4 linked regions of the Struthio camelus genome follow. The protein of the gene in region 4 interacts with the protein of the main gene of each other region in a biochemical or structural test. Links are inferred from orthologs where the notes say so. Each region holds a gene or a part of one and is shown on either strand. Other genes may lie near its edges.

What was found.
Region 1: the proteins of TRIM28 (region 4) and FBP1 form a complex in vitro, tested with the Homo sapiens proteins (2 studies listed by BioGRID). The link is inferred for Struthio camelus from reciprocal best matches to the Homo sapiens genes TRIM28 and FBP1.
Region 2: the proteins of TRIM28 (region 4) and IRF1 form a complex in vitro, tested with the Homo sapiens proteins (2 studies listed by BioGRID). The link is inferred for Struthio camelus from reciprocal best matches to the Homo sapiens genes TRIM28 and IRF1.
Region 3: the proteins of TRIM28 (region 4) and CBX3 form a complex in vitro, tested with the Homo sapiens proteins (2 studies listed by BioGRID). The link is inferred for Struthio camelus from reciprocal best matches to the Homo sapiens genes TRIM28 and CBX3.

What each region holds. Positions count from the first base shown.
Region 1 is NC_090982.1:32,595,795-32,603,726, reverse strand, and holds the start of FBP1 (fructose-1,6-bisphosphatase 1), read left to right. Parts: upstream 1-4,862; 5' UTR 4,863-4,965; coding exon 4,966-5,135; intron 5,136-5,323; exon of another isoform or gene 5,324-6,961; coding exon of another isoform or gene 6,962-6,972; intron 6,973-7,788; coding exon 7,789-7,932. UniProt on the Homo sapiens protein: Catalyzes the hydrolysis of fructose 1,6-bisphosphate to fructose 6-phosphate in the presence of divalent cations, acting as a rate-limiting enzyme in gluconeogenesis. Plays a role in regulating glucose sensing and insulin secretion of pancreatic beta-cells.
Region 2 is NC_090954.1:2,453,248-2,460,929, reverse strand, and holds the start of IRF1 (interferon regulatory factor 1), read right to left. Parts: upstream 3,267-7,682; 5' UTR 3,125-3,266; intron 1,829-3,124; 5' UTR 1,824-1,828; coding exon 1,737-1,823; intron 1,609-1,736; coding exon 1,509-1,608; intron 1,318-1,508; coding exon 1,141-1,317; intron 794-1,140; coding exon 744-793; intron 620-743; coding exon 484-619; intron 309-483; coding exon 183-308; intron 1-182. UniProt on the Homo sapiens protein: Transcriptional regulator which displays a remarkable functional diversity in the regulation of cellular responses.
Region 3 is NC_090943.1:38,642,284-38,649,920, reverse strand, and holds the start of CBX3 (chromobox protein homolog 3), read right to left. Parts: upstream 3,187-7,637; 5' UTR 2,769-3,186; exon of another isoform or gene 2,676-2,768; intron 2,148-2,675; coding exon of another isoform or gene 2,118-2,147; exon of another isoform or gene 2,015-2,117; intron 2,005-2,014; exon of another isoform or gene 1,731-2,004; intron 613-1,730; exon of another isoform or gene 475-612; intron 114-474; 5' UTR 87-113; coding exon 63-86; intron 1-62. Other genes in the region: HNRNPA2B1 (heterogeneous nuclear ribonucleoproteins A2/B1), read left to right, coding at 2,118-2,147, 7,513-7,623.
Region 4 is NC_090975.1:272,061-279,525, reverse strand, and holds the start of TRIM28 (transcription intermediary factor 1-beta), read right to left. Parts: upstream 3,297-7,465; 5' UTR 3,272-3,296; coding exon 3,064-3,271; intron 1-3,063. Other genes in the region: ZNF324B (zinc finger protein 324B), read right to left, coding at 6,796-7,356. UniProt on the Homo sapiens protein: Nuclear corepressor for KRAB domain-containing zinc finger proteins (KRAB-ZFPs).

The sequences.
Region 1 (7,932 bases), on a different chromosome or scaffold from region 4:
TGTGTCTTAAGTAACTCCAATGACAGCATCTGTTTCAGATTGCACGATCACTTGCGAATCCCAGTTACCTATTAGGTCCTTCTCCTGTGAAAGACAGCACAGAATGACCGCACATGCCTTACAGTGTATTATGAAAGCAAATGTTTTTGCCATTACAGCCATCAGTAAAGTAAACCTACATGCAAAAATAGTGGGAAATAGTAAGATAAAACCCCATGTTAGATCAGGATACTATAGCTATCTGGTAACTAGTTACTTGAAAAGGATTTTGAGCCACTGCTTGGTGTTCCTATCAAGATCAAATGGACTCTATAGAGCAATCTAAAGTATAGGTTCCTTCTATCCACCTATTACTCCTGTTTTTAAAGTCATATCATCTTGCAGTGATGTCCTATCTGTAGGGGCTTAACTTTCTTGCTGTTTCTTCAGAGCTGACTCAATATGTGCTAGGCATATCCCTTCTCGGCTTTTTTCTATACCGGCTGCAACTGTGTCACAAAAGAAATATCAGGTTAGTAGAGCAAAAGGAAATATGCAGAAAAGGTAACAAACGCAGTTTGTGTATTGCTGAGTTAAATTCTCTTTTCCCCACTTTCTCTCACTCTCTTTCAAACTGTGTGAATTCCCAAAGTAATCAGCCAGCTTTTCGCTCCAGCACGACTTTCCTCTGCAGCCCAGGATAAAGTTTTTTCCTTGATTTTCTTTACTTGCCTGTCTATGTCACAAGGGCATTGTAACGATTCGTTACTGTTCATTCACAGTATGAAAAACTCTGTAAATACTGAATAAAATTAATTTAAAAAATGTAAAAGCTAACAGTCACTTTAAATAGTTTTACTGCCAGTCCTTTGGCATGAAACAGAATACAGCTGGTAAACAAGAAGGGGGAATAACCTTGTAAACAGTCACTCAGCTTCCTTTATTGACCATATATTTCAGAGGCGTAGATAAGAGAATCATTTATGATTACCATGTTCCATTCCTTTAGCATACGCTATAGTTTGGACCTCACTAATGTAACATATTCAAGACACCTTCATCACACTGCAGATTAAGCTGGAAAAGCCAAACACTGCTTCATCTGTACTTTTACAGAATAAAAATGAGCTGGGATTTGGAAGAAAAGACTTTCTGTTGTTCTGATAAACATTTGAGGTTATCTGGAAGTCCTGAACTGAAGCAAATAAAGTTAAAATTACCAGAGCTGAACAAAAGCCCAAGCAAGACCTCCACAGTTGAACCTCTGCAGTACCGCTCATTTAAATCATCCTAAGCAACAGGATATTAAAAATTTGAACAATTTGAGCTATTGTTTTCAGCAAAGCAACATAACTGGTTATGGTCCTGTAGCTAAATCTACAAGGACATTAATGGGATATCTGCCCTAGAAATCTAACCCCGGATCAGGGTCTGAGAGCAGAATTTGACCTTTTGTATCACATGCTCTTCCTCCGGCCATCTTGAATTTTAGATGTCATCATCTAATCATGACATTATGCCCCTTGGTGGTTGTAAAACTTATTTTTTTTCCTGCCAAGTAGACAGTTAAAGAAGATAAGTCCACTCTTTGATAGCACTGTAGTTTAGTACAGAGTACATCGAAGTCTCTTCAGGTTATTCTTTTAGCAGTTCCTGAAGTAAACTAAAGTAAAAGTTCCTAAAGTAAACTTGGAGTTGTTACTGTAAATATTTTTTCTGGATATGTTATATGACATTTTAAAAGGGAAGTATTAGCATGTATAATATTCAGGTAGCATATTCTTTGCTCTGCTTGCCTGGTAGAGTCTTGTGGATAGGTAACAAATACAGAAATTAAAAACCGACAATAAAGATGACAATATTTGTATTTCACAGGCACATAGAATTCCTTTTCAGAATCAATTTTATGCATATTAAGCGCTCTGTCAACGTATAGAAAAACGGAGATGTGCTCTCCTAAGAGTCCGCCCTCACAATAAAGTACTAAAAACGTTTACATGCTACTGACACAAGAGGGCAGCATACAGGCGTGCTACGGGAAAACCCTTTACCGCAGAATATCATCAGCTTTATAGTTCGATTGTGCTTATCGATCATAGCAAAATTCATACAAACTGGCAGAATAATTTAATGTGTCATTATCAGATAAATGCCATTTTACAGCTACCGTACCGAGAAAACTTTTTTCCACAAATTTTCACCTTTAATTGTGTCCTTTTGAAGTTGTGTGCCTGTGCCCAGAGATGTGCTATGCTTTGCTATGGCCGTCATAAATATGTATTTTAGGAGGCTGGCCTGGCGTGGGAAATTCACGCAGGAGAAGGGAAACACTTTATGAAGCAAAGGAGCCAAAAGTCTGGTTGTCTAGCTAGAAATCACACTGGCAGATCTGTCTCCAATGGCAGGCAACGGCCAGCCTCAGTCCTCCCCTGCGTCAGGATCTAAAGCTGCCATTCCCACATGGATGCTTTCCTTCAGGATAAAAGGGCCTTTTGGGGAGGCTTTAATTCCCACTATCTTTTTGCTTGTCATTTGAAGCTACCAGAGGCAACCTTCATAATAAAATACCTGGGGATTATGTCATCACCATGTGTCTTATTTTCATAATCATTACACAATAGGGATTTTGCATACAGGGAGAAAAGCTGTTTTCAAAAAAGTTGTGTGTTTTGGATGCTTACAGTTCTGAAAAACTGTGAACTGTGTCTAGCTGAATGTCATCTGCTCGCAAACAAGGTTGCGTTTTCTTCTATACAGGAGCAAAATGTTTTGGCAATGTTTAATCAGCCAGCACTGACCTTTCTTCCCCAGCGCCACACATTTGTTCTCGATAAATGTTTAACTACTGATTTCTAAGGGGAAATGCTCACAACACGTAGAACCTAATTCAGAGCTTACACTGATTTAACATTACCAAATAGCATGGTTGCTGTAGGGTTGCATATGCGTTTTAGAGGTTAAAAACTCATTCTGTGTTCCCAGGGTCTTGTGACACTTTGGGCAGGACAAGTAAATCTCCAGGCAGTCTGTTTCCTTATTCATTTGGCTTCAGTTATCTGTCTGTATTCTCCCAAGATACGTGAAAATACTGACCATGAGGCAAAAATTAAGCCCATAATATAATGCTGGCTGAAGCGAGTGACTTTTTTTTTTAACATTTGCCTGTTTGAGAATAGATCACAATAAACCACGGGTTTGCCTATACTGCAGTCTCTGGCTAGCACAGACAAACTTAGCCAGATAAGTTGGGTTTAGCTAGACAAGCCCAGTTCTCAGAGCAGGGAACTGACTGTGTGTCACAGATCCTGCCCCAAAAGTTGGATGTGAAACCACTATCTTTTCAAATGACTGCTGTTTCAATCTGCAGCTTGCTTATTTGTGCCTGGTTTCCACGATATGAGTGGAAGTGGTAAAAAGTCTTGCCCCTTCGTCTCCCCCACTGCAAAAGGGCAAAGGTTTCAGCTCAGAAACTGGGGAGAATAGGCAGAGTACTGGAGGTGAAAAAGGCTCCTTCTCTTCAGGCATGGATTTCATAAAAAAAAATTTAGGTTGCAAGTGTTTTACACGGATCTTGACTATTTTATCCTGAAGTACAGATTTCTCTGCAGGATAGGATACTGATGTATTTTATGGGGTCCTTATAAAAAAGGTAAGTTATTCCAAATAAATAGTTCTTCTGTTACTGTGGGTCATACGTTCCTAGACTCCTCTGTCCTACCCAGTTTAAGTGCACTCATCTAAACTTCTGTGTGATGTTTGATGTTGTCTTTCTCTATTATTCTGGCTGATGTAGCTGCAGTGGACCTGGCTGATGTAGCTGCCGTGGACAGCTGTAAAGCATTATTTACCTTTAAAGAAAGAGCTAATATCAATCCTTTGTAAATTTTCCAAAATCCACCTCCCTCTCCTGGAACTCTTTTGAAGTGCTGGGCTGGTACCACTTACCAAAGACTAAAAGGTCCCGTTGCAAAGAGCATTACAGCTATTTACAACTAATAGTTTCAGAATTGCATGTACTTCTGGGCATGCCTAAGTTAGGCCAAAGTTATATGCACCTGGAGAAGGCATTCACACATACCTCTGAGGTAAGCAATGTGTGGATATACAGTGTGCTTGCATATGTAAAGAGGTGCACACTTTTAAATGATTTTTGCCTGGTGCTTGGCACCACCTGGAACAATTTCAGTCTGCAGTTTGGGTTCGGGGATTTGAGACTGGGCTTATCCAAATCACTGATATATTCTAACAGAAAGTAATCAAAATGTCTTGGATACATCTCCTTAATTATACAGACATAAAATGATGGGTAATATAAATATAAATATAAATCTACATGGCAACAAAAGGATAACCCATATCCATATTTGTACTTTTCAAATTATTGTGTGTCAGGGTGTATGTAGGATGAGATGTGGAGAGAACTTGCTTTCTGCTATGCGTCAAAAGTTTTGGATTAGTCACCTAGCGTTCTGGATCTGGCAAAACCTACGTTTTTGTGACGGTACGCTGCATTGCACTGAGACGTGGCTGGATTTTTTTTTCTTTTTCTTTTTTTCTTTTTTGATCAAACAGCAGCAAGAAAACATATCGTTTGATCTCACTGCACCGTCAGGGAGGCGGGGTCAAAGCGCTGGTACTCAGCGGGGTCTGGGCTCCTAGGTACGTTGTGCAGCAGCATTTGTGTGGCTTGCGCTCGTTCCTGGCTTTGGGAGAGCGGGACTGGAGGGACAGGCTCCTGCTGCCGGACCGCTCCGGGGAGCCTGCCGTAAAAACCTGCCCGGGCCGCTGCGCCGGTGCGCGCGGAAACCGGGCGGCCGGGGGGCCGGGCCGCGCCGGGGACGCGCGCAGGGGGCGGGGCCAGGCCGCGGGTGCCCCGCCCCCGGCCCCGCCCCCGGCCCGGGGCTATCGCCGGCGGCGGCGGCGGCGGCGGCGGGCCCACTCGTCCCGGGGCGGCGGCACGGGCACGGCGGGCAGGACGACGGCACCATGGCGGACCGCTCCGCCTTCGACACCGACGTGATCACCATGACCCGCTTCGTGATGGAGGAAGGGCGGCGCGCCAGGGGCACCGGCGAGTTCACCCAGCTCCTCAACTCCCTCTGCACCGCCGTCAAGGCCATCTCCAGCGCCGTGCGCAAGGCCGGCATCGCCAACCTGTGAGTGACACCGGCCCCGCCGCCCTCCCCGGCGCTCCCCCGGCCTCTCTCCCTCCTCAGCAGCTCAAAACCTCTCGCCCACCTCACGCCGCGAACCCTTCCCCCCCGCCATCCCGAGCTGACGCCTGTAGCGTCCCAGGCTCCGGCTTTTCCCCGGCAGAAATGGGTTTTGTCACCTTTTTTAATAGGTAAAGGCGCGCCGACTCGCGCAGGTGGCTGCGGCTGGTAGGTCTTCGTGCAGACACCTCCAGCAGGTCGAGACGCTTCGGACCCGAAGACCAAACAGACTGAAAGTTGAAGCCTGGCAAAATAGGGCTGAACTGTTATTATTCGTTGTAGGCAAGAACTTGATATCGAAGCACCGTTTTCATGCTATAGGGAGTTTAATCAAATTCGGGTTTGTTTTGTTTTGTTTCATTTTTTGCTTTTGCCACATTGTGCCCTAGCAACCTGAGTTTTTCTGTGACACCCTGGAAGTCTCCGGCCTATAAATAAATGGTCTCTGCAAGGACCAGCAGTGTCTGTAGTCAGTCAGGCAGAGCTGATACCGAGGGGGATTGCTCTGGAGGAAGGAAAATGTGAGGAAAGGATTTTGGAAGGAAATGAGAGCTCTTGAAATGGTAGATAGCTGAAGCCAGTCTAGGGCAACTGATTCTCCCATGTATTTTGCATATTGTTGATAAGCCACATAATATGCTGATCAGGGGTTTAGACGCAAGCTGCCTCATTACTTAAAGAAAAAAGTAATAGCAAGAAAACAAATTTGCCTCTACAGACCATACAGTGGAAAATAAATTAAGTAAAATGCCTCTAGCAAAACAGAGTAACACTTTTTACAAAATACATCAGTATCTTAGTATCAGCAAGCTGAAAGATTTGGTGACTGAAGCTGGCAGAACAGAAGCAATTGCACAAGCAAATTACAATAGCTCACTCTATATAATTTAAAGTATCTTTTGCTGTCTTGACTTCAAATCTCATCTGATATGCTTGGCACAGTTTTATAGTCGCTACATGCTAGCCCCTTCCTAAGCCTTTTATGCTACAGTCCCAACAGCAGAGAGTAGGGTTTCCTTCCACCGCCAACTTGTAACCTTCCTTGGCCCCATTCCTTGTGCCTCCTCTCTGTGTTTCCATGGCTTTGCTGAGGTGTCCGTGGGTCCGATACCTGAGCTGCTATCCTGGCCTCACTACCCTCCAAGGTGGATGGTATTTTCTTCCCCGGGACAACCAGCTTTGGACTTGCGAGCCTCCTCAGGCAGGCGAAGCGCAGCTCCCACCGTGGGACTGTGTTTCCTGACCAGCGGTGGGATTTTCCTGTCTCAGGCACTGCCGAGTGACACATGACCTGACCATCGGAGAGCGCAGAGCAGCAGGGATTGCCGGGCCCATTTCTTGGGGTGGCCCCCAGCCTGGCCGTGAAGGTGGTGATGAGCTGCTGCCACCGCCGTGGCCACCGCTCCTTCCCGCTGCAGGCTCCATACAAGCTGCCCACTGCCCTCTGCGCTCCCCAGGGGCTGGGCACCCAGATTTGGCCATGTGAAGGTTTTGCTCTCAGGATGAGAGCCCCCCCGGCTCCAAAGTGTGACATTTAAAGTCTAATGTTTTCTAAAACATTGCAGAAAAATGCTCAAGCCGCTGTAGCAGAGAAGGAGAGAGAATTTTGCTGGATCTTTCACTTTTTCTTATGCATCAGATTGAAGAAATGCAGTACATTTCTTCAATTCTAAATACATCCTGGTCAGCTGTATTGCGAGAAAAAAAAAAAAGAGAGAAAGAAAAAGAAAAAAAAAGAAATACCAGTATTCAGTATTCAGCTCTCACCAATGTATCGCAGGTAAGCTTAAGTAAGAGCCATCGGTGTGCCTGCGCAGAGCTAGGTACGGCTTTTCTCTTTTACGACGTAATCCATAACCCAAACTTCCTTTGTCTGTGTGTGTTTTCACTATTGCCTATCGCGAGCTCTGCTGGTACTTCCTGGTGCTGAGTGCTGGGTTCAGACTAACCAGCCGGAAATCAGCTGGCTGATTTCTTTTTTTTTTTTGTTTGTTTGGCACTTGTGTTTCTCAGTCTTATTCGCAAATAAACACTTACAACTTAAAAACAAAGCTAGAAACATTATAGCATAAAAATGTTGATTTAACCTCTGAACAAAAGGTTTGTGCCCATATTTGTACAGGGTATTGCTAACCATAACCAATATAGTCAGATGCATTGTTACTTTTTAAGTATAGACTTTCTAGTGAGATCTTAGCTTTTAAAGCAGCTACGATGTGGCAGCCAAGGTTGTAGGGGCAGTATTTGGGTCTTAAGAGGCAACAGCTAATTTAATAGCGTGATTATAATCCAGTCCTCGTAGCGTGCTCTGGCTGGGTTTGCCTATAGTTTGGGGACTATTCACGCGTGATTCCTTTTTTGCATTCCTCATGTTCAGTGTATTCCAGCCTTGCTACCACAGCTCGTGTTAGCAGGTCTCAGCAAGAACTTATCAGCTGGTAAATAAAAGGAGGCTTACAGACCTGAGATATCACTCAGAAGAGTTGTTTGTTTCACAAGACTTTTCTACGAGCCTAAGCCTGCTAGAAGTGGGGTACTTTGGGAGACAGAGCGCCCAGTTTTTACAAAATGCTCTTCTCTCTTTCCATCGCTTTAGCTATGGAATTGCTGGTTCTACCAATGTGACAGGAGACCAAGTGAAGAAGCTGGATATCCTTTCCAATGATCTCGTGATTAATATGCTCAAGTCATCCTTCAGCACCTGTGTTATCGTATCAGAAGAAAATAAAGATGCTATAAT
Region 2 (7,682 bases), on a different chromosome or scaffold from region 4:
GTCTGGTCAGCTCCGGTAACCCAAAGCCATCAGGTGGAGGTGATTTGGTCTACAAGAAAACCCTTGCTTCTCTGAATACCCCAGGGCACTCTCTCATCCTGTAGCCTCGCCTACAGACTGCTAGAGCAAGGCTATTTCCAGTAGACTGATGAAAGACTGGGGAGGGGGGAAGCAATACCAACCTTCTGAGGACGAAGCTGGGGGGGACACCTGGAGCTGGTAGAGGTCGTTGGTGCTGTCGGCCATGGCAATTTCCATGGGCGTCCTCCAGTCGGTCAGGGAGCAGTTCACCTCGCAGGGCGAGAGGTCTGCGGGGACACACCAGAGTCGGGCTTCAGAGCAGGCACACACCACCCTCTCTCCCCACCACCTGGTTCACGCCATCCCTACAGAAAGCTGCCAACACCTTTTGGTGCTGAGCTTGTTGCTTTAGCCTGAACAGCAATTGCCACTCTGCTCAGAGTGCTAAAAATTGAATCTCACCTAAGGTGATGGATGTGCTCTCCACTTCCACTTCCTGGCCCGTGTAGCCATGTACTGTGTAACCACTGTGGTCGTCCGGTAGAGTAGTACTGGTTAGACTTTCTACTGACTCCTCTGTCTTCATGTCTTCATACGACTACAAAAATAAGGGCAAGGCATGAGATACTTGTCTAAGAATGTACAAGTTCCCATATGAAAAAAATTAAGCAAGAAAACCACCAAAACCTCTAGCTTCTTCAGCTGCTTCCACACACACATACCTTTCTTTTGCTCCTGTTTCTTGCTTCTCTTGATGACTTTGACTTCCTTTCTGTTAAATAAAAATAAGACCAATATGAGAAAGGGCTTCACAGCCAACGTTTTACGTGAGTATGAACCATTGCAGCTCTGAGCAAAGTCCTGCTCTGCAGAAGTGAATCCTGGTCGCTTCCTAATGATCCCTTTTAGGTATGTTTTAAGAATTTGGGATAAAATGAACAGTTTGTACAAACTGTTACTGTACGTGTGCAACGTGTTACTGATAGCAATAACCGGTGACTAACCCCAGTAACAGTGTTGCTACCAGCAGCTCTGCTGCAAGTGGGGCAGGAAATTCAAGCAGTGTTTGAAGTGCAGCAGCAGGGCCTGCTCGCCCCGGCTGGCTTCCCGCGTGCTTACCTTTCTTCTGATCCTTCGTCAGGGGCGGCAGCATTCGGTACACTCTGACTGCACTGGAGCCTTTGTTGATGCTTTTGTCCTTCACTTCTTCAATATCGGGCAAGGAGTTCATAGCACAGCGGAAGTTTGCTTTCCAGGTTTTAGGGTCAGGGTCTTTCTCACCTATTTTATATCTTCCTATAAATAAGAAATAGTGTGAACATTCAGACTTTTGATTGCAGTGGTTGTTCTTCCTGCAAGGAAATAATCTTTTTCTATTTTTCTCTTTAAAAAGTTAATTTGATAACCTGAACTGTAAATCAAGACAGAATAAGCTGCCCTACTTGAGGTATCCATCTGACAGATAAAATCTTAAAGCCAGCACGCACCTGTATGAATAGCCCAGCTCCGGAAGAGGCAGGCATCCTTCTCCATGTCCCAGCCATGCTTAGCTGCATGTTTCCAAGGGATCTGAAACATCATCTTATCCTGAAGTTAAACCAATAAGAGTTTTGAATTAAAAAAGGAGATTCCTCACGTGCCAATTTATAATGATGAATTGAATCAGAGATTACTCAGTAGCAGCATAGATAGGTTTTGGTTGCAAAAAATCTCACCTTGTTAATCCATGTCAGTCCCGGTATTTGATTGGAATTAATCTGCATTTCCAGCCAGGGCCTCATGCGCATTCTTGACACTGGCATGTTGTCTATGGAAGAAATAATAGCTCAGCAAAAAAGTATTCATTCTGGACCACATGCATGCTGCCGGCGACCTCCGCCTCCCTTCATCCCCTCTGCTGCTGCGCTGGCTACTGCTCACGCTGCCAGTGCGACCAAAACTTTCTCAGCATCTTTCATCTGCTTCCGAATCACAGTCTCGCTCGCTCTAGCTGGATTATCATGTAACACTAGCTGCAGTTTTGAGCTCTGGAGGCAGCAGCAGGCCCGCAAGAAGTGCCGTGAGGGAACTTTTTGTGACCCAGCCTGCAAGAGAATGAGCCTAGCCTCAACCTCTGCCTGGCAGGAGGCAGCTCTGCTCCCAGCACCAACGGATCAACACTGGCTTGCAGCTTTCCCGGGAAAAAGTGGGAGGTGGGTGATGCTGGATGGCAAGAGGTAGCGAGGGGCTGCTCGCTTGCCTGCACGGTCCCTGCACGCTGCTGGCTGCGGCCACAGTACAGAGCCCCAGGCGCTGCAGCCATCGCACTGTGCTGTTAGTAGCACTAACTGCACACTCGCTTTCTTGAGTCTTATCTGCTTAGTTGCGCAAAAGGAAAAAGAGAAAGCTGGGCTGCAAGGGACTCCTAATTAGCAAAATAAGCCCCACCATCAAAACTGCGCCTCTTAACGCTGCGGTCCGAGGCCGCTTCCCCGCCGCTGACACGAAGTGCGACAGAGGCAGTTTGCTATCAACCCTTCCTCTGCATAAATATATTTCCTGTTTTTGCTTCCCCCCCCCCCCCCCCCCCAGATAGACACACCAGCATTTCCAAAACAATAGCGCGCCAAGTTCCCCGAGGCGGGCACCGCGCCGGGCGGGGGCAGCGGGCGGGAGCGCTGCCGGCGGCGACGGGCTCCGCCAGTTCCCCGCGGCGGGGGCGCCGCCGCGGCCCGGCCCGGCCCGACCCGGCCCGACCCGGCCCTCTCACCTCCCGCCCCCGCGCGGCGCGGATGGCCCGGCCCGGCCCGGCCCGGTTACGTAAGGGGCCGCGGCGCCGCCGCCCGCTGCCCGCCGGGGGATGCCCGGCGCCCCCCGACGGCACAGATCCGCCGGCAGCGCACCGGCCCCGAGCTGCCCCCGGCTGTCGACAACCGCCCCGCCGGCGCGGCGCCCGCCCGCGCACCGCCTCCGCATGGTCAAGGCCAGCGCTGCAGCGAGCCGAGCCGAGCCCCGGGGCCGCTCCCACGGCCCCTGCCCGCCCTTTGCGGAGCGCCTCCCCGCCCGGAGCCCCGGCGCCGTGCAGCGCGAGAGGCGGAAGGGGGAGGTGGGGACCGCCACCCACCTCGCCGCGCTGTGCCGAGCCGAGCCGTGCTGAGCCGAGCCGTGAGAAGCCGAGCCGAGCCGAGCCGAGCCGAGCCGAGCCGAGCCGTCCGCGCCTGCCGCCCGCCGACCCGCCTCTGCGGCCCGCGGGGCGCGCCCTCGGGTTTAGCGCGGCGGCGCCCGGGATTCCCCGCCGCCCCGGGCACGGGCAGCGCTGCGGCCAATCAGCGCCGCCGCGAGGGGCGGTCGCGCCGCCCATTGGCTGCCGCCGCCAGCATCACTTCGGGGAAATCAGGCTGTTGTTGCACTAGCGGCGCGGGGGGGAGCGCCGGCCTCCCCCCAACTCCGCACCGCTCGCCCCGCCCCCTCGCTGTTCGCCCCGCCCCCCCCGCCCCGGCCGGGGTCCCCCCCCCCCCGCCGCTTCCCCCGTCGTAGGGCTGGCGGGGCCGTCGGGGCGCTCGGCCCGGCCGGCAGCGGGGCGGCCCCGGGAGCACGGGCAGGGTCGGGCCCCCGAGGGCAGGGCCTCGCGTGGGGGCTCCACACCGCTCGCGGTGGAGGGTGAGGTTGGCCCCGCAGCCCCTTGGGAGAGCATGGCCCCACGGGGGCACTGAGCCCCACGGCCCACGAGGGTCCCGCGCCCCACAGCATCACAGAATCACAGCACGGTTGAGGTTGGAAGGGACCTCTGGAGATCATCTAGTCCAACCTCCCTGCTCCAGCACGGTCGCCTAGGGCACGCTGCACAGGACTGTGGCCAGACAGCTTTGGAAGGAGGCTCCAAAGCTCCAGGGAAGGAGGCTCCACAACCCCCCGGGCAACCTGCTCCAGGGCTCCGTCACCCTCACAGGAAAGGAGTTTTTCCTCATGTTCAGACGGAGCTGCCTGTGGTTCACGTTGTGCCCGTTGCCTCTCGTCCTGTCACTGGGCACCACGGAGAAGAGTCTGGCCCCATCCTCTTGACACCCTCCCTTCAGAGACACATACACATTGATCAGATTCCCCCCTGAGCCTTCTCTGCTCCGGGCTGAATAGTCCCAGCTCCCTCAGCCTTTCCTCATCTTAGGAGAGATGCTCCAGGCCCTTCATCATCTTCTCCGCCCGCCGCTGGGCTCACTCCACGACCTCCATGTCTCTCTTGTAGTGGGGAGCCCAGAATTGGACACAGTAGTCCAGGTGAGGCCCCACCAGGGCTGAGCAGAGGGGGACGATCACCTCCCTCCACCTGCTGGCAACACTCTGCCTCATGCACCCCAGGAGACCATTGGCCTTCCCGGCCACGAGGCCACATTGCACTCCCAGGGCCTTCTCGGCAGAGCTGCTTGCCAGCAGGTCAACCCCCAGCCTGTCCTGGTGCCTGGGGTTATTCCGCCCCCGGTGCGGGACCCTGCACTTGCCTTTGTGGAACTTCAGGAGGTTCCTCTCCGCCCGGCTCTCCAGCCTGTCCACGTCCCTCTGAATGGCACCACAGCCCTCTGGTGTGTCAGCCACTGCTCCTAGTTTTGCATGATCAGCAAACTTGCTGAGGAGGCACTGTGTCCCTTCGTCCAGGTCACTGATGAATGTGTTGAACAAGACTGGAGCCACTACTGACCCCTGGGGGACACCTCTAACTACAGGCTTCCAACTAGACTGCACCGCTGATCACGGCCCTCCGAGCTCTGTCACCCAGCCAGTTCTCAATCCATCTCACTGTCCACTTATCTAACCCACACTTCCTGAGCTTACCTAGGAGGATGTGGTGGGAGACCGTGTCTAAAGCCTTGCTGAAGCCAACGTAGACAACATCCACTGCTCTCCTCTCATCTGCGCAGCCAGTCGTCCCATCATAGAAGGCTACCAGGTTGGTCAAGCATCATTTCCCTTTGGTGAATCCGTGCTGACTACTGCTGATCACCTTCTTGTCCTTCACATGCTTAGAGATGGCCTCCAGGATGAGCTGTTCCATCACTTTTCCAGGGATGGAGGTGAGGCTGACAGGCCTGTAGTTTCCTGGCTCCTCCTTCTTGCCCTTTTTGAAGACTGGAGTGACATTTGCTATCTTGTAGTCCTCAGGCACCTCGCCTGTTGTCCATGTCTTTTCAAAGATGATATAGGGTGGCCTAGCAATGATGTCTGCCAGCTCCCTCAGCACTCGTGGGGGGCATCTTATCAGGGCCCATGGACTTGTGAGTGTCACGTTTGCCTAAATGATCTCTAACTTGATCTTCCTCGACCAAGGCAGAGTCTTTCTTTCTCCAGACTTTCTCCCTGATTTCCAGGGTCTGGGATTCTTTAGGGCTGGCCTTAGCAGTAAAGACTCAAGCAAAGAAGGCATTCAGCAGCTCTGCCTTCTCTGTATCCTCTGTCGCCTCGACCCCTGCCCCATTCAGCAGCGGGCCCACGTTTTCCCTAGTCTTCCTTTTGCTATTTGATGTGTTTGAAGAAGCCCTTCTTGTTGTCCTTGACATCCCTTGCCAGATTTAATTCCAAATGGGCCTTAGGGCCTTAGCCTTCCTCGTCACATTCCTGCATACTCTGACAACGTTCCTATATTCCTCCCAAGTGGCCTGTCCCTGATTCCACCTCCTGTACACTTCCTGCTTATGTTTGAGCTTTGCCAGGAGCTTCTTGTTCATCCGTGCAGGTCTCCTGCCCCCTTTGCTCAACTTCTTGCTCATAGGGATGCACTGTTATGGAGCTTGGAGGAGGTGATGCTTGAATATTGACCAGCTTTCTTGGACCCCTCTTCCTTCTACAGCCTGATCTCATGGGATTCTTCCAAGAAGATCCCTGAAGAGGCCAAAGTTTGCTCTCCTGAAGTCCAGGGTTGGGATCCTACTTATTGCCCTACTTCCTCCTCGCAGGATCCTGAACTCCACCATCTTGTGGTCACTGCAGCCAAGGCTGCCCCCAGCCTTCACATCTCCAACCAGCCCTTCCTTGTTTGTTAGTACAAGGTCCAGCAGCATACCTTTCCTCGTTGGCTCAGCCCTACAGCCGATGAGGGTCCCACACCCCACAGGATGCTCAGCCCCATGACACATGCTTCCTTGGCAGCAGGGCCGGCACTGTCACCCCCTGATGCGCTTCCTGGAGCAGAGGAGCAGCCACCTGGAGTGGCTGTCGCCACCGATGTGGCATGAGCACCCCAACATGAAGACTTGAAGATTTTTTGCCAGCCCATAGTGACACTAATAAATTAGGAAAGGAAGTAAGTAAAATGCAGGCTCCAGCCGAGACTATTTTTAGCCAAACGGGAATTCGGCCAGGACTTGGGCTGCTCTTTACGAACTTGATGTGAAGTTTCCGTCTCTCAGTGCCATCTTTGAGCTGCCGAGTCCCACGCAACGCAATTGCGGGACCCCAGATCGGTAGCGACTCCAAACTACTCTCGTTTACTGTCTCCTATTGAGAAGGGGGTCCAAACCTGTATTTTTATTTATTGGGTGCCAGTCATTTCCAGAAGGGATGCAGTAAGGCTTGGAGTAATAGGAGCAATGGTGGGTGGTGGAAGCAGAGTTGATATCAAATGAAATGAAACATGTGAAAATTATCAGGGATGTTGCTGATCATCTCTTCTACATTTATGTTTTTGTAGCATGTGGTGGCCGGCGTGCAACCAGCTGTCCGGTGTCCACCTGACTCCTCCAAATGGTGCAAGCAGACGTACAGAAGTGTAGTGCTGCCATTGTCGAACGTGCACTAACTGCGTGGCTAAAAGCAGCAGGGCGCCGGAGTCCCCCGAGCAATCCCCGGGCACGCTGCGCCGCAGCTGAGTCACAGGACACAGGTCCCCTCTGCTTTCGGCAGATGACTTTTGTGGTAAAACGCGGTACCACGTACGTTGACTGGCTGTTCTCTGCAGTTCATTTAGAAGCCTGGACAGCCTAAACTGGGCTCCTTGGCATAATCACAGCTGTAATCTAGTCTCCTTTCAGTGCCTTTTCTCAAAAAACTCCCAACTGAGGTCTGGTCTTGGCCACTCCATTGTAGGTGTTCTTCATTTTTGTAACATAAAAGTTAAAGAAAACCTCAAACCTGGATTTAAAGGCAGGAAAGCAAAAACAAAGACAAAAACCCTGTAAGTGTCAGTGCTTTCGCTAAAGTCATTTTTGTCTGTTTCATGCTCTTGTGCGGTAGCGGCGTCCTCCAGGCAGGCCTTTGCAGGCACCCTTCCCCAGCGCACTTACAGCGTAGATAAATACTAGGCAGGTTAAACAAATAATCAGAGAAGGAGAGAGGTAGACGGCCAAGGCAGGGATAGCCCGAGGATGTGTACAATGCATAGTCCGTGCGAGAGCATAAAGTCATTTTTCCGTGTAAGGTATTCAGAAATAGTAGTCAGACATAACATAGAGATGTAACCCGGAAAGGGGATGACAGAGTGTGTTTGAGGTTCCAATGCAAAAGTCATCTACAGAAATAGTCACAACCCCTTTTATACAACCTAAGTGTAGATAAAAGACCAGCTTGTAGTTCCTTACAAGCTCCAGCCTCCCATGGTGTGTTTGTTTCCCTCTCAGGCACCTTTAAGAAAAATTCGGTCTGAGCTTCCTGGTCTGGTGGGACAGCATGTGTATAAGGTAAAGATATCTTAAGTA
Region 3 (7,637 bases), on a different chromosome or scaffold from region 4:
TTATAAGTTTGAAGAAAAATGTTGATTAAATCCTTATATACTTTAGGTGTGCATGAACTTACCAATGTAGTTTTATTGGAGGCCATTTTTATTGCAGACTTGCAGAGCTTTTACTAGAAAAATGCATGACAATTAAAAGGAAGTTTACATTACTCAAAGAAAGGCATCCCAATACAAGCATGGTCCTTGTTCCAACCCCCATGTATTCACTGCACATAACACTCCTAATACGGATTAAATCCAGAACAAAAAGTAGGTTACTACTTTGTCCAGCGTAACCCAGTAACACACCGTTATGCTAGCCAGGATACACGATACCGACAAAGTCGTATATAGAGTTGAAAAAAGGTTTTCCCAAGGCCTTCTAAGGCTCAGAGATGTTTCTAGGGAAAAGGGGGAGGACCATCAGGGATGCATATTTCCTTAAACCCAAGAGAAGAAGAGTAGAGATTCTAGCAGTTAATCAAGATATACCTAGATGTATTAACTGCGAATCTGGTGGGGAGCAGCTACATATCTGCAGTGTAATAAGGAGTCACCCATTACTCTTACATAGTAGTAAATGCTTATCAACAGCCAAACGTTATCTTAATGCAACTATAACGTTGCCTTCTGATTTTCAAGTTTGCAAGAGTTAAGGTTCCTATAGCAATACTAACTCAGCAGCTAAGCTGTACATACTATGTATGTAACCTAAGCAAATGATGTTGAACGCGATCCATCCCCTTTTCCACGTCGTTTCTCATACTGGCCACCTCTGTAGGCATGTATTATCCCCGCCTGACTGCAAACTATAGAGCTGTTACAATTTTGCATTTGCCCGGGCAAGGCAAGAGAAGTCCTTCTCCAAGGCCAGAAAGCCTCCTCGGCTCTGCGATCCCGCCCAACTCGCCTCTTATGTGAGAGGGGGGTTTTGGCAGCCCCAAAGGCGGTGGGGTGGGTGAGGTGGGAGGGCAGGGATCAGGGCCCCGGCGCGGTGGGCCATGCCATGTCTCCGTCTGAAAGGCAAGGGAGAGGGGAGAAGCAGCAATTCCCCCCGCCCCCCACCCGAAAATAAAACGGAATAACCCCCGGGAGGCCTGGGGGCGGTGGGGGGGGCAGCGCAGCGGCTCAGGCCTGCGGCGGGCGCAGGCGAGGCGGCCGGGGCCGAGCTAACGGGACTAAGGCGGGCCGGCCCGGGGGAGGGGGGCGAGGGCCGCGGGAGCCGCCCGCCCGCCCGCAGCGCCCTCGCCGCGGGGCCGGGGCCCCCTCGCCGCCCGCCTCCCCCGCCCCCAGCGCCGCCACGTTTCCCCCGGGCCCCGCACGCCGCCGCCCGGAGCCTGGCGCCTGAAGGCGGCGCGGCCGGCCCAGGCCGCCCCCTCGGCGCTGGCGGGCGCGCTTTGTCTGGCGAGCGCGGGGGCCGCCGCCGCCCCCTCATCCCCCCCGCCCCGCCAGCCGAGGGGCCTCCGTGGAAATGCCAGGGCCCCACGAAGCCCCGCTCCTTCCGTTACCCCCCGCCGCCAAGGAAGCGGCAGCGCTCGGCTGAGGGCGGCGGGGGGGGGGGGGAAGGGGGGCGAGGCGGGCTGCCCCCCGCCTTTCCCGCCGTGGCCTTGAGGCGAGGGCCGCGGTGCAGGAGCGCTCCGCGGGGCGCCCGCTCCCCCGTGGCGGGAAGGGGGGGGAGGAGGAGGAGGAGGCGGCGGGGGGGGGGAAGGTTATCGAAGCGAGAGAAAGAGGGAGAGAGAGAAGGATACAGACTTCAATGGTGCTCAAGCCGCTCGGGTTTCCCGTCTCCTCCTCGCTCTCGCCCTGCGCGCACTGAGCAGCGGCGGCAACAGCGACATCTGAGGGGGGTTGAGGCGGGCGAGGGGGGGGTGGGGGAGGGGAAGGGGGAGGGCGGGGCGGCAGCGGCTGGGCGGCAGCGCGGCGCGGCGCGGCGCAGGGCGGGAGGCGGCGGCTGCTGGCGGGGCTGGGCTGGGCGAGCTCTGCGTGCCGGCGACTGACGGGGCAGAGCGCACGACGCCGCCTACGCGCGAGCTGCAACCTCCTCCCGTCGTCGCCGCCAGTACAGGAGGGGGGCCAAGACGTCTCTCCAACGGGGGGCGAGTGCAGGACCGCGTCAAGCGTCCAAAAGAAGGAAGATGCCTCGCGGCGACAGAGAAAGCGACTGGGTGAGCGGGAAGTGGCGGGAGGGGGAAACGGGCCCGGCGGGCCGGTAGCCGCCGCCGCCGCCATGATGATCATCGCCATGAGGGCGTGCTGGGTCGGGGCGGCCGCCGCCCGCCGCAGGGCGAGCGAGGCCTTCAGTCCGTGCGGGGGGGCGCCTGGGGCGATCCCCAGGTGCGGGGAAGGCGGGCAGGGAGCGTTTGAGCGGCTTTGAAGTTCGTTTTGCCGTTGCTGAGGCGGGCCCGGGCCGTTTGGAGCGCGGCCATTTCCCGCGTTGCGGCGAGGCGGCCTAGTCTTGAGCGAGCGCCAGGGAGGGGGGAGGGGAGGGAGGAAAGCGGGAGTTGGAAAGCGGTTGGGGGCCTAGAAAGCCCTTTATTAAGTGGGGGAAACGGGTCCGAGTCAGTTTAGGGTGCTTCGCTCCGGGAGAGGGGTCGCTTCCCGGGGAGCTGGGAGGAGGGGGAGGAGAAGAGGGGGCGGGAAGAAAGGAGCAGCCCTAGCGCCATTTCCCTGGTGCGCGGGGCGGCGGCACTCACCCTTTGTCGCGGTGTGTGCGGGGCCGGTGAAGAGAGAAAAAGGGAGGGAAAGAAAGGAGGAAGGAGAAATAAATGTCTAAGTGAGTGGCTTGCCCGATGGGTTTTCTGTCCGTGTTGCGGGGTAGAGCGGAGCAGGCTGCGGCGAAGTCCGCCTCCCTTCGCTGGCTCTCGGCCCCCGGCGATGTCTCGGTGCTGGCGCCAAAATCTGGGCAGCTATCACTTCCTCCTACCCGGGCGGAGGGGGAAGGGGCCAACCCGCCGACAAAAAGGGGAGATGTCGGGGGCGCGCGTAGGCACCGCGCTGTGCTCCCGCCCGGGCCCTGCCAGTACCACAGGTGGCCGGGGGGGGGGAGTAAAGGTGGGGGGGGGGAACGAGCCCTTTGGCTAATTATAACCCCCTTGCTTTGAGGTTGAGTCTTCGGGGCGGTTCGGCAATTTCCGGAAAAAAAAAAAAAAACCACCCACGACGCGGTGCCAAGTCTGGTCGGGGCCGTTTCGGCTCCGCTCGGGCACGTATTAGAAAGCTCTTCCGTTGTCGGAAACTGCCGAAGGCGCTGTATCGTCGATGGCTGCTGCGTCTTTCTCTCCGGAAATTGCCGAGTGGGATCGGATCGCCATTCTTGTCCGTTTCGGCAAATTCCGGAAATAGCCGAAGCGAATCGAATGGGCTTCCTTTCCTATTTCGGCTTTTTCCGGCGACTGTCGAAGTGGATAAGCTCGACGACGACAGCTCCTTCGGCTCATTCCGGAGACAGCCATTACTAACGGAGTTGATGACTTTTTATTACGTGATTAAAACACATAGGGGCGTTATACAGAACTGTTGCCCCTTTGGAGATATTTAAGCTCCAGATTCGAGCTTTTTGACTAAAACATCGGCAGCGAGTCTGGGCTGGAGAAGGAGGGCGCTAGCACTACGTGGAGCTGAATTTCAAATTACGTAACAGTTAAGGCAGCCATTACTGAGCAGTTGTGCGGTATTCTCAAGCAGGGATACGTAAACCATGAAGAATATGGTATGTGAAAAGGGAAAAATACAGATTCGGCTGTTAGGGAGGGTGGCGTGTCTGGTTGTGGAGATGGAGTGCTTTTTCAGGATCGGGGGGTTAGGAGCAGAGTCGTCCTCGGGCAGCGTAGGTCTGGGTGCTGCTGCCGACCCCCGTTAGCGGCGGCGCGGCTAGCGGCTAGGTGCCTCTCCGCAGAGGAAGCGTTAGCAGGGAGGAAGGTTCTGGAAGCGGCGGTTGGGGCTGGTGCGCACTCGAGAGGGGAGGCGGAAGCTGCGGTAGCTGTGCGTGCGGGTACGAATTCTTAAATCTCCCGACATGTCCTTTAGCTGAGCTGCCGTTAGGGTGGTGCTGCGGGGAAGGGAGAGGGGGACACACACCACTATGGAGGTCAGTTAATGCGCGATCCGGGACTCTACTTTGCCCTGCGGGACGCTGAGCGGCCGGGGTGGCGCTGCTGATAATGGCGGTAACGAGGGGGAGGGGTAAAATGGCGGCGCCGAGACTCGCTCGTGCGTGAGGCTTTCAGGATGAGACCTAGGAGGGGAAAGGGGGTAGGGAGGGAGAGCAGTAGAGGCTGAGAGCCAGGCTGCCGTTGTTATCTTTATGGGAACAGAAAGCAATCGCTTGCAAGCTCTCCCTGGTAAGGCGTGTGTAGCCGGACGCTAGAAGCGGTTTGCAGCGACTGATTTGTGTTTTTCCTGAAGGCCCGAGTGTAACTTAGCTTCTTTATTCTGGCGTCGGTTCTTTGTGAATTTCTTTCCTTCCCGCCGCATCGCTTTCCCTGGAGGCAACGGTTGCTTCTGGGCGCCATTTTCCTCATCTAACTGCGGGGGCCCTTGTTTTCCTGATAGCCGCCACATGGCGGAGCCGGCATGGCAGCCGCTTCACTCCTGATAATACCGGGCTGCGGGGGAAGGGGGAGGACGTAGACTGATGGATCGGAAAGCCATGTAAGAGGTGTTAGGGGCTAACGGGGCGCGACTGCATAGCGAGTGGTTGGAAGTGTCTTTCTGGTTTGGGGCCAGTAAATCTGGGGAAGTGTAATCGCTTGGCAGTTTCCATTTTGGCGGGCAGTGCCAGCTCAGAGATTCCACTTACCTGTTTTGTTAACCGTTTTTGTTACTCGGATTCTTAACTCTGCAGAAGTCTGCAGTCAGCTTGGAGTATTTGTACCCATGCTGTTATGACACGAAACGCACTTACTTGGTCTGGTGATGGATTTTCCAGTGTAGGCTTCATGTTTTCCAGTCCTTTGAAGTGTTGCTTTTAGCCTGTGAAGGAAGGCTTAAAATAAGCCCTAAGGAAGATTTACAGATTTCCAAAAGATTTTCTCTCACAGTTTGTTACTGCGGTAGAATGCACTCTGGAAGTCTTTAAAGGAGTTTTTTTATTCTGTCTTTTATATTAGCTTGCTACCAAATGAGGGTTTTCATGAAGATTCTGAGTGGGACTGGAAGGATAATAGCTTATATCATATGTTTCACAGCTTCAACGTGAACCGTGTAAAAGATTATCAGAGCTCTCTGGATCTTGGTCGTAGGTTAATTCTAGATAGGAATTTGAGCCTCTTAAACAACATTTAATGCAAATAGACTATGTTCAGAGGCTCTGCCTGTATTAGTGGAACAGCATGTTTATGATGTTTTCACACAGTGGTTTTGATTCAAGAAGTGATAGGGTTTTTTTTATTGCTATGTCCTGACATGTATGCGGTGCCTAGATGTTGGTTTTGGGTAGGGCACATGCTGTATGACACTAATACACAGGAGATGATGAATGTGAGAATTCTTAAGAATGCAAGAGTGTTTCATTTTTCTGTTTTATGTTTTTTAGTAATGTATGATACATGTTTGTCCTTTAATAATCAAACCAACTTTTTATGGCTCGTAGCGTTCTTTGCTTGAGTTTCGTTTAAATTTCTGTCGCTGTTTTCACAGATAAACGTTTATGAGAAATATCAGTATGCCTACTGAATTTGCCTGAATTTGCGTATTTCTGTCCTAGTTGCATTATTAGACATGTGGTAATTGATTATACAGGGAGAAGTGTTCTTTTCTGGTCGTGTGAAACTGTAGCAAGTACTTCAGCTCTGCTGCTAGAAAATTAGAGACTAATGTGAAGAGAGAGGTTTTTTTGCAGTATCATTACTTTAAATGATTTCTTAGCTTACTTGGGTTCTTAAATAATAGTATGCATGCCTTGCCACATGTGACTTACCAAATGAGGTATGCACCACCCCTTATTCCATTTAAGAGCTCATAGGAAAGAAACGGTAACGTGGGTTTACCCCTTTTAAGTTATGTTGTGACAAATTTTGCCCATCTGCACAATGAGAAGGTAGCTTCCTTTGTGTTTCTTAGAAAATACTTGGAACCCGCTATAGGATCTAGCGTTTCTGAGTGACACTGAAATTGATTGTTCTCAAATGCAGCATTTATATCAAAATTGTTTTTATGATTGTTGACTTGTTTCTCAGACTGAATGCAGTATCTTCAGCTGGTGATAGTGATCTCTTTTTTTTTTTTTTTTAATCAAAACTGATTCAGTATTGCTTCTAATAATGGTCTTCCTTGTTAATTGATTCTAGATGCTATCTGCTCTGGACAAGCTCAGAAAGCATATTTTGGCCTGCAGGATGATTGGCTAACACTTTTCAAAGTATCTGCACTAGGCTTTTTTGTTTGTTTTCCAAATCTCATTATTTTTCATTGGTTTTCTAATATCCTTTTTGCATTTCTCCTATTGCACAGTGCATAATTAGTTATGGTGTGTTGCTTAGTTGTAGCGAATGGTGGCGTGCTGGAGGTGTTTAAAAAAAAAAAAAAAAAAAAGGTGTTCCTGATTTTAAAATGACTTATCATTATAAGGGTGAAATAGTCATTGTATTCGAACTCTTATTTGGCAGGAGACCTGGCAGGACAGTTATATCTCTTTAGAGCAAGAGTCTGATGTCTTTTAAAGTTTGTGAAATAGGACTATTGTTTGTGTGCGGTTGTTTTTCTTTTTTTTTTTTTTTTTTTAAACCATTGCTGTTTGACGTAGAAAACTACAGAGTGCCTAATCTAGTGACACACTGTCATACAGAAAATGATCTTTTTGATGCCTTACTATATTTTCTTTTTTTTTTTTTTTTTTTTTCAATTGATGGAGGTTGGGAGATTGTTTCTTTCTGCTTTGGTGTATACTGTATGCAAAATAATAGATGTAAAGCCTACTTTATTCTAGTTCCAATGGTGCCCGATCCCAGACCTAGATTAATTTTGCAAATACTCTAGTTTTATACATTTTAAAGAGTTAATAAAGGGAAAATGAATCAATGACCTGTTGTAAAAGGTCTAAAGCTATCTCTTTGTTTTTTAATGTCTTGGGAAAATAGTATGGTTGTATTCATGTGCAGCAAGTTGAGGCAGAACATTTTTTAAAAATATATGCTATCTGGAATAGAATCATACAGTATGAACGGGTTGGTGTTACCTGTAATGAGAACGTTTTGTTAGTTCGCAGCATTGTTTTTCCTGGCACAACCTGAAAAAGCTTCTGATAAGACCTTTGGGAGGATTCCTCTTCTGGGAGTATTTAAATGTAGTCTCTTTTTTAATGTTTGGAGGGAGAGATGGGAAAAGTACATTGTTAAAATCTATATCATAGAATTGCACAAGTTGCTTAATTTCTGGAATAGAAGTCAAACATTGTAGAACCGCCTAATCTTATCTTGAAAAATGCTTTCTACGGAAAGTTTTTAACTCTTAAGAAAATCTCACTGACTGTCTAATTGTGCAGTAGGGGAAATGCTGTAAATTGTATTAATGTAAACTTCTTTTCTGTGATAGAGGGAAAAGGAGCAGTTTCGCAAACTGTTCATTGGTGGCTTAAGCTTTGAAACAACAGAAGAAAGCTTGAGGAACTACTATGAACAATGGGGGAAGCTTACAGATTGTGTGGTAAGTTGGGCATA
Region 4 (7,465 bases):
CGCGGCGGCAGAGATGGGTCGCCGGGGCTGACCGAGAAGCCCAGCCTGGAGGCAACCTCTCCCACGAGTTTTTTGGCAGCAGAGCCCATCCAATGGAAGGCGAGAAGGAAGAACCCGGAGCAGCCGGGAAGATGCCCTGGATATCTGACCGCTGAGCTAAGAAACCCTCAAAAATGGGATGGCTGTCGAGGCCAAGCTGAAAACTTCACTCCGAAACCAAACTTTTCATGCAGAAGCATGCTCTGGGTGCCCCGTCACGCCAGGAGATCCAAAGAGGACTCGTCAGCACTGATTTTGGCTGCACGGGACCTCTGCGGGTCCTTGCTCCAATCTGAGCCCAATGCAGGACCAGTACAGACCAGGTTCCGCATAGGATGCATACCTCCACGGATGGAGACTCACCAGGACCCATTCCTGCTTGGGGCAGGGCAGAGGGGACCTTGCTGGTCCAACCCCAGGCCAAAACGGGTCCACCTGGATCAGGTCCCTCATGGTCACACGCAAACCTTGAAGACCTCTAAAGACAGAGGCCCACCACATCCCTGGGTCTCTCCCCAGCTGACCTCACCGGGGCAGGAGGGTCGGGGCTTCCAGGGGTTCCTGCACCAACCTCAACCAAAGCAGGACCATTGCCAACACCGCACTAGGTCGCTGACAGCTTCACCTAGCCAAACCTCTAAGGACGGAAACCCACAACTGCTCTGGTCCCCTCCAGACAAAGAACTTTCTCCAGATGCCCAACTTGAACCTCCTCAACCAGAAGCCACATCAGGCACCCCTCGCCGCCTCCCCCAGCTCTGCCACCAACAGCCAAGCAGCCACCGGTCTACCCTTCCTCCTCCTCTTCCTCTCCAGGGCTTTGAGAAAGGGTAAGCCACCTGCGACCGTTGAGATACCATCTACCACAGGTGGCAGCGAGAGGAAGCAGCGCTTCTGATCTCTCCAGAAACTTCTCTGCCTGGCAGATGCCAAGGCAAGGGGAAAGAAAAGAATGGGGCTCCAGGACTGGGGTGAGAAACCTCCATAGAGGCGACCACGAGCAACGCCAAGCTCTGCCACGAGCGGGACAACACCACGCTGGGAAGGACCCAGGCATCCGGGCAAGGCCAACAGGGCCACAGGGCAGTTGGGAGCTTCCTGGTACAAGCCGGTGTCAAACTGGGATGAGGCCAGCAGAAGCCACCAAGCACAGCACGTTCAGGGAGCGGCCAAGGGAGCTGGTGAAAGGGGACCTAAAGGTCCACCCGACATCCCAAACCACCTCCGGAAACACGGACCAGCTTTCTGGGAAGAGCTCATTGGTGTTGGAGCCCTCAGGGAACCCAAGGGCATCAAGAGCACCCATCTACTCCTCCGTTGCCCGGCTTAGCACCCGCGCGAGCCTCGCACGCCCACCCTGCCTCACCCCAGCGCCCTCGCGCCGCCTACGCCCCCCCCCCCGCCGCCCCTTCCTGACCTGCGGACGGCTGCAGGGCCCGGCCCGCGCACCCCTCCCCGGCTGGCCTGGCCCCTGCTGCCGCTCGCAGGCAACCTTCCCCCCCCCCCACCCCGGCACAGCCCAGCGCAACGTTTTCCCCTTGCATAACCCCCCTCCGGCAGTACCGTGGGGCCTCGCCGCCCCCCCCCACCCCCCATTACCCCAGGGCCTCGCCCCCCCCCCCTCGCACCCGTTACCCCGGGGCCTCGCCGCCCCCCCTCTCGCCCCCCGTTACCCCAGGGCCTCGCCTCGCCGCCCCCCCTCTCACCCCCGTCGACCTGGGCCTTTGCAGTCTTCCCCCCCCCCCCACGTTAGCCCAGGCCCTCGCCACCCCCTCTCACCCCCCGTCGACCCGGGGCCTCACCGCCCCCCCCCTCACCCCCCATTACCCCAGACCCTCATCGCTCCCCACCCCAGTTAGCCCAGGCCCTCATCGCTCCCCACCCCAGTTAGCCCAGGCTCTCATCGCCCCCCCCCCCCCAGTTAGCCCGGGGCCTGGCCACCCCCTCCTCGCCCCCGTTATTCCGGGGCCTCACTGCTCCCCCACCCCACCCCATTAGCCGGGGGCCTCGCCGCCCCCCCACCCATATTAGCCTGGGCCTTTGTAGTCCTCCCCCCCCCCGTTAGCCCGGGCCCTCACCGCCCCCCCCCCGGTTACCCAGGGGCCTCGCCACCCCCCCCCCCGGTTAGCCCGGGCCCTCGCCACCCCCCCCCGCAGTTACCCAGGGGCCTCGCCACCCCCCCCCCGGTTAGCCCGGGCCCTCGCCACCCCCCCCCGCAGTTACCCAGGGGCCTCGCCGCCCCCCCCCGGTTAGCCCGGGCCCTCACCGCCCCCCCCTCGGTTACCCAGGGGCCTCGCCACCCCCCCCCCGGTTAGCCCGGGCCCTCACTGCCCCCCCCCCCGGTTACCCAGGGGCCTCGCCACCCCCCCCCCGGTTAGCCCGGGCCCTCACTGCCCCCCCCCGGTTACCCAGGGGCCTCGCCACCCCCCCCCCGGTTAGCCCGGGCCCTCACTACCCCCCCCGGTTACCCAGGGGCCTCGCCGCCCCCCCCCCCCCGCTTACCCAGGGGCCTCGGCGCCCCCCCTCCAGTTAGCCCGGGCCCTCACTGCCCCCCCCCCCGGTTACCCAGGGGCCTCGCCACCCCCCCCCCGGTTAGCCCGGGCCCTCGCCGCCCCCCCCCCCGGTTACCCAGGGGCCTCACCGCCCCCCCCCGGTTAGCCCGGGCTCTCGACGCCCCCCCCCGGTTACCCAGGGGCCTCACCGCCCCCCCCCCCGCAGTTACCCAGGGGCCTCAACCCCCCCCCCCAGTTAGCCCGGGCCCTCACTGCCCCCCCCCTGGTTACCCAGGGGCCTCACCGCCCCCCCCCGGTTAGCCCGGGCTCTCGACGCCCCCCCCCGGTTACCCAGGGGCCTCACCGCCCCCCCCCGGTTAGCCCGGGCTCTCGACGCCCCCCCCCGGTTACCCAGGGGCCTCACCGCCCCCCCCCGGTTAGCCCGGGCTCTCGACGCCCCCCCCCGGTTACCCAGGGGCCTCGCCGCCCCCACCCCGTGAGCTCGCCTCCCCCCGGTGCCCGCCGCCCCCACCTGGCCCCTCCTTGGCGGCGGCCGGCGGAGCGGCGGGGCCCGGCTCGGCCCGCAGGCAGGGCCGGCAGACGGAGTGGAGGCAGGGCAGCAGCCGCGGCTCCCGCTCGGCCCGCAGCCGCTCCCGGCACACGCCGCAGCGCTCCAGCAGGTCCAGCGAGTCCGAGCGCGCCTCGCCGGGGCCGCCCGCCTCGACCGCCGGCCCCGACATGGCGGCGCCGCCGCCGCCGCTCCCCCCCCCACTCCAGCTCGACCCCCCGCACCGGGGGGGGGGAGGTGGGGGGGGCTCGCGCGCCACGGCGAGCTGCGCGCGCAGCCCGGCTCGGCTCGGCCGCCCGCCTCCGCCAATCAGCGCCCGCGGAGGGGGCGAGGGGGGGCGGGGTCTGCGGGGGAGTGACGGGGCGGTGAGGCAATGGGAGGCGCGCGTTGGCGGGGAAGGCGGGAAAACGGAAAGAGGCGGGAAGGGCCCGCCTGCACGCGACCGCGGAGAGGCGGGGGTTAAAGGGAGACGGGCCAATCAGCTCGCTCAACAGCGCGAGGCAGCAACTGAAGCCCAATAGGCGTCCGGAGAGCGAGGATTGACAGGGCGTGGAGGCCAATCCTCTTCCTCTAAGCGCTTCCCTCCCCCCGCTAGGCTTCCAGGGCGAAAGCTGTCTCAAAGCCCGGAGAGGGGGCAGGCTCTAGACCAATCACCGACCGAATCACCACAGGGAAGGCGGAGTCTTAAAGATGAACGTGGCGCTCAGCCAATCGACAGCCACAGCCCTCCAGGAGGCGGGGCAGTCGCTCTGACTGACACCTTGTTGAGCCAATCATCTTCTAAAATACCTTACGGGGGGGGCTCCTCCCCGATCCAGAGTCACTCCGGTTTGCCTCTGGTGGCCAGGAGGGAGTAATGGCGGGAGTGGCTCCGGGGTGGGGCGGCCCGAGGGCAAAGTCGATGGCTGTGGCTAGGGCAGGGCTCTCACGGGGCAGGGCCTGGGTCTGGATGTGTGTTGGGCCTGGGCCCGGGCCCGGGCCCGGGCATGATGTGGGCCTAGGCCCTGGCTTGGGGCTTGGGGCTTGGACCTGGATCTGGGCCTGGCCATGATGTGGGCCTAGGCCCTGGCTTGGGGCTTGGGGCTTGGGCCTGGATCTGGGCCTGGCCATGATGTGGGCCTAGGCCCTGGCTTGGGGCTTGGGGCTTGGGCCTGGATCTGGGCCTGGCCACGATGTGGGCCCAGGCCTAGGCCCTGGCTTGGGGCTTGGGGCTTGGACCTGGATCTGGGCCTGGCCACGATGTGGGCCTAGGCCCTGGCTTGGGGCTTGGGGCTTGGACCTGGATCTGGGCCTGGCCATGATGTGGGCCTAGGCCCTGGCTTGGGGCTTGGGGCTTGGGGCTTGGGCCTGGATCTGGGCCTGGATCTGGGCCTGGCCACGATGTGGGCCTAGGCCTAGGCCCTGGCTTGGGGCTTGGGGCTTGGACCTGGATCTGGGCCTGGCCATGATGTGGGCCTAGGCCCTGGCTTGGGGCTTGGGGCTTGGGGCTTGGGCCTGGATCTGGGCCTGGCCACGATGTGGGCCCAGGCCTAGGCCCTGGCTTGGGGCTTGGGGCTTGGGCCTGGATCTGGGCCTGGCCACGATGTGGGCCCAGGCCTAGGCCCTGGCTTGGGGCTTGGGGCTTGGACCTGGATCTGGGCCTGGCCACGATGTGGGCCTAGGCCCTGGCTTGGGGCTTGGGGCTTGGACCTGGATCTGGGCCTGGCCATGATGTGGGCCTAGGCCCTGGCTTGGGGCTTGGGGCTTGGGGCTTGGGCCTGGATCTGGGCCTGGATCTGGGCCTGGCCACGATGTGGGCCTAGGCCTAGGCCCTGGCTTGGGGCTTGGGGCTTGGACCTGGATCTGGGCCTGGCCATGATGTGGGCCTAGGCCCTGGCTTGGGGCTTGGGGCTTGGGGCTTGGGGCTTGGGCCTGGATCTGGGCCTGGCCATGATGTGGGCCCAGGCCTAGGCCCTGGCTTGGGGCTTGGGACCTGGGTCAGGGCTGGGACATGGGCCTGGGCCTGGATTTGGGCCTGAGGCTGGGTCTGAGGCTGGATGTGAGCCTAGTCGTGAGCGTGGACAAGATCTTCATCCTGGGGCTGGGTGTGGACGTGGTCTTGGACATGGGCAGGCGCCTGGGCCTGGGTCTAACCCTGGATCTGGGCCTGGACGTGGCCCTGGGCCTGAATCTGGTCATGGATGTGGGCCTGCATCTGGGCTTGGACATAGACAAGAGCCCGGGCCTTGGCCCAAGTGTGGGAATGGGTTTGGGCCCCGGTCAGGGCTTTGGCCTAGGCCTGGATGTGGGCTTAGACCTGAACCTGGGCCTTGCCGGGTCCGGATGCCCAGTGTCCCCCCACAATCACTGCAAGCCTCGCCTGGCCCCGCTGGGCAGGGAGAAGCCCTCGGACCTGGCCGGCCGTGCACAGGACAGCCCCCGGGCGACTCCCTCAGCCTCTGTTCCCACCCTGGCAACCCCGGAAGGCGACTAGCCCGGGGCAAACAGCCTCCCTCGGGCGCTGTTCACAAACCAGGGCGCCCATCGGCTCCCTCTACCCACCTAATTCTGCCCCGCTTTCGCTTCTCAATCATTTTAACGCCTTCTTTTACCCACAGAGAAGACATTGGGGGGTCTCTAAAGGAGCTTTGAGTCCTCAAAGCTGCTCCGCCGCAGCCAAGGGTCACCCCCGGCAAAGTCTTGTCTGCTCCCGTCCTCCCTCGCACCCCGAGAGCGATGTTTTCGGGATCCCAGGGGCCGAGCGAGCGACCGGGCGTGGATGTGGGACCGGCCCCGAGGAGGAGAGCGGAGGCTGTGAGGCCGTTCCCGGCGGGGAGAGAGACGACACCCCGAGCTAAAGATAAGGACGCTGGAAATTCATATGGAAAATTCACACAAAAATCACAAAAAACAAAAAGAAAAACCACCAAAACCCGGCTCAGGAGGGGGCTGTCTTGAGAAAGAGCGAGAAATGCTCCGGGAAGGCCGCTCAGGAGAGAACCGTCTCGAGACCTTCGCTCAGGCGGCACCGGACGACGACGAGCGTCGGCCGCGGGTGCTTCGCTCCGGAGAGACGCGACAGGAGGACGCGGCAGGGAAGAGCTCGCCCCGCCGCGCCGCCGGTACCACCCGGAAAAACCGCCGAGGCGACTGTCTTAAAAAAAGTCTCTCGCCTCCTGGTTTTCCTGGCGGCCACCGGCACGAGGCAACGCCGACCTCGACTTCCTCGAGCCGGAGTCTTCCTCGAGTCTTCCTCCAGCGGGGCCGGCGAGAAAGCGGGGAGCCCTTCGGAGAGGCTGAGCGCAGTGAGTCCCGGAGGGGCTAAGACGCCTTTGGGTGGCGGAGGGGACGCTCCGCCGCTAAATCAGGAGCTTCCTCGCGCGGAGACGAGAAACCGGTTGGATGAGCCCCGCTGGAGAGCTACTGAGATGGTGCTGAGCGAAAAGCCTCGATTTTTGCCCCGATCCCGGGACTCCGGGAGGCTTTACGGAAGGGAAACAGAAAGGGTTTTCCCCCACCGGTCGACGGCAGGGCAGAAGGGTGAGTCCGAATACCCCCCCGCAGCGGTGGGGCGGGGGGGGAAAAAACCAGCACGGGGCAGCCCGGACGGAGGCAACGGGCCCGGGAAGGGGCGCTGGGTTTTCTCCCTCCCTTCTTCGCCCCCGGCGAAAAAGAGCGGAGAAGGAGGGGGGAAAAAAAGGAGCGCGGGGCGGGCGTCTAGGCGCGGTGGGTGCGCTGGTGCCGCAGGAGGTGGGCGGCGGCGGCGAAGGCCTTGCCGCAGCCGGCGCACTTGTGGGGCCGCTCGCCGGTGTGGGTGGCGCGGTGGCGGGTGAGGTGGGCGGCGCGGGCGAAGCTCTTGCCGCAGTCGCCGCAGGCGAAGGGCCGCTCGCCCGTGTGGGTGAGGCGGTGGCGGGTGAGGTGGGCGGCGCGGGTGAAGGCTTTGCCGCAGAGGCCGCAGGCGAAGGGCCGCTCGCCCGTGTGGGTGCCGCGGTGGCGGGTGAGGTGGGCGCTGCGGCGGAAGGCTTTGCCGCAGCAGCCGCAGCGGTAGGGCCGCTCGCCCGAGTGGGTCTCGCGGTGGCGGGCCAGGTGGGCGCTGCGCCCGAAGGCTTTGCCGCAGCGCTCGCAAGCGTAAGGCCGCGGCGGCGGCGGTGCCGGCGGCGTGCCGGCGCGCTCCGGGCCCGGCCCGCCGCCTCCGTGCGTGCCCAGGTGCCGCGTCAGGTGGGAGCTCCAGCGGAAACCTTTGCCGCAGTACGGGCACGCGTTGGGCTTCTCGCCCATGGCGCCGGCGCCTCCTCGGGCCTGGGCGAGGAGAGAGCGGCACAAACTGGGGTTACTGGGCTGCCTGCGGTTGGCCCTGCGTTCCCCTCCCTCCTCGCGCTGCCCCGAA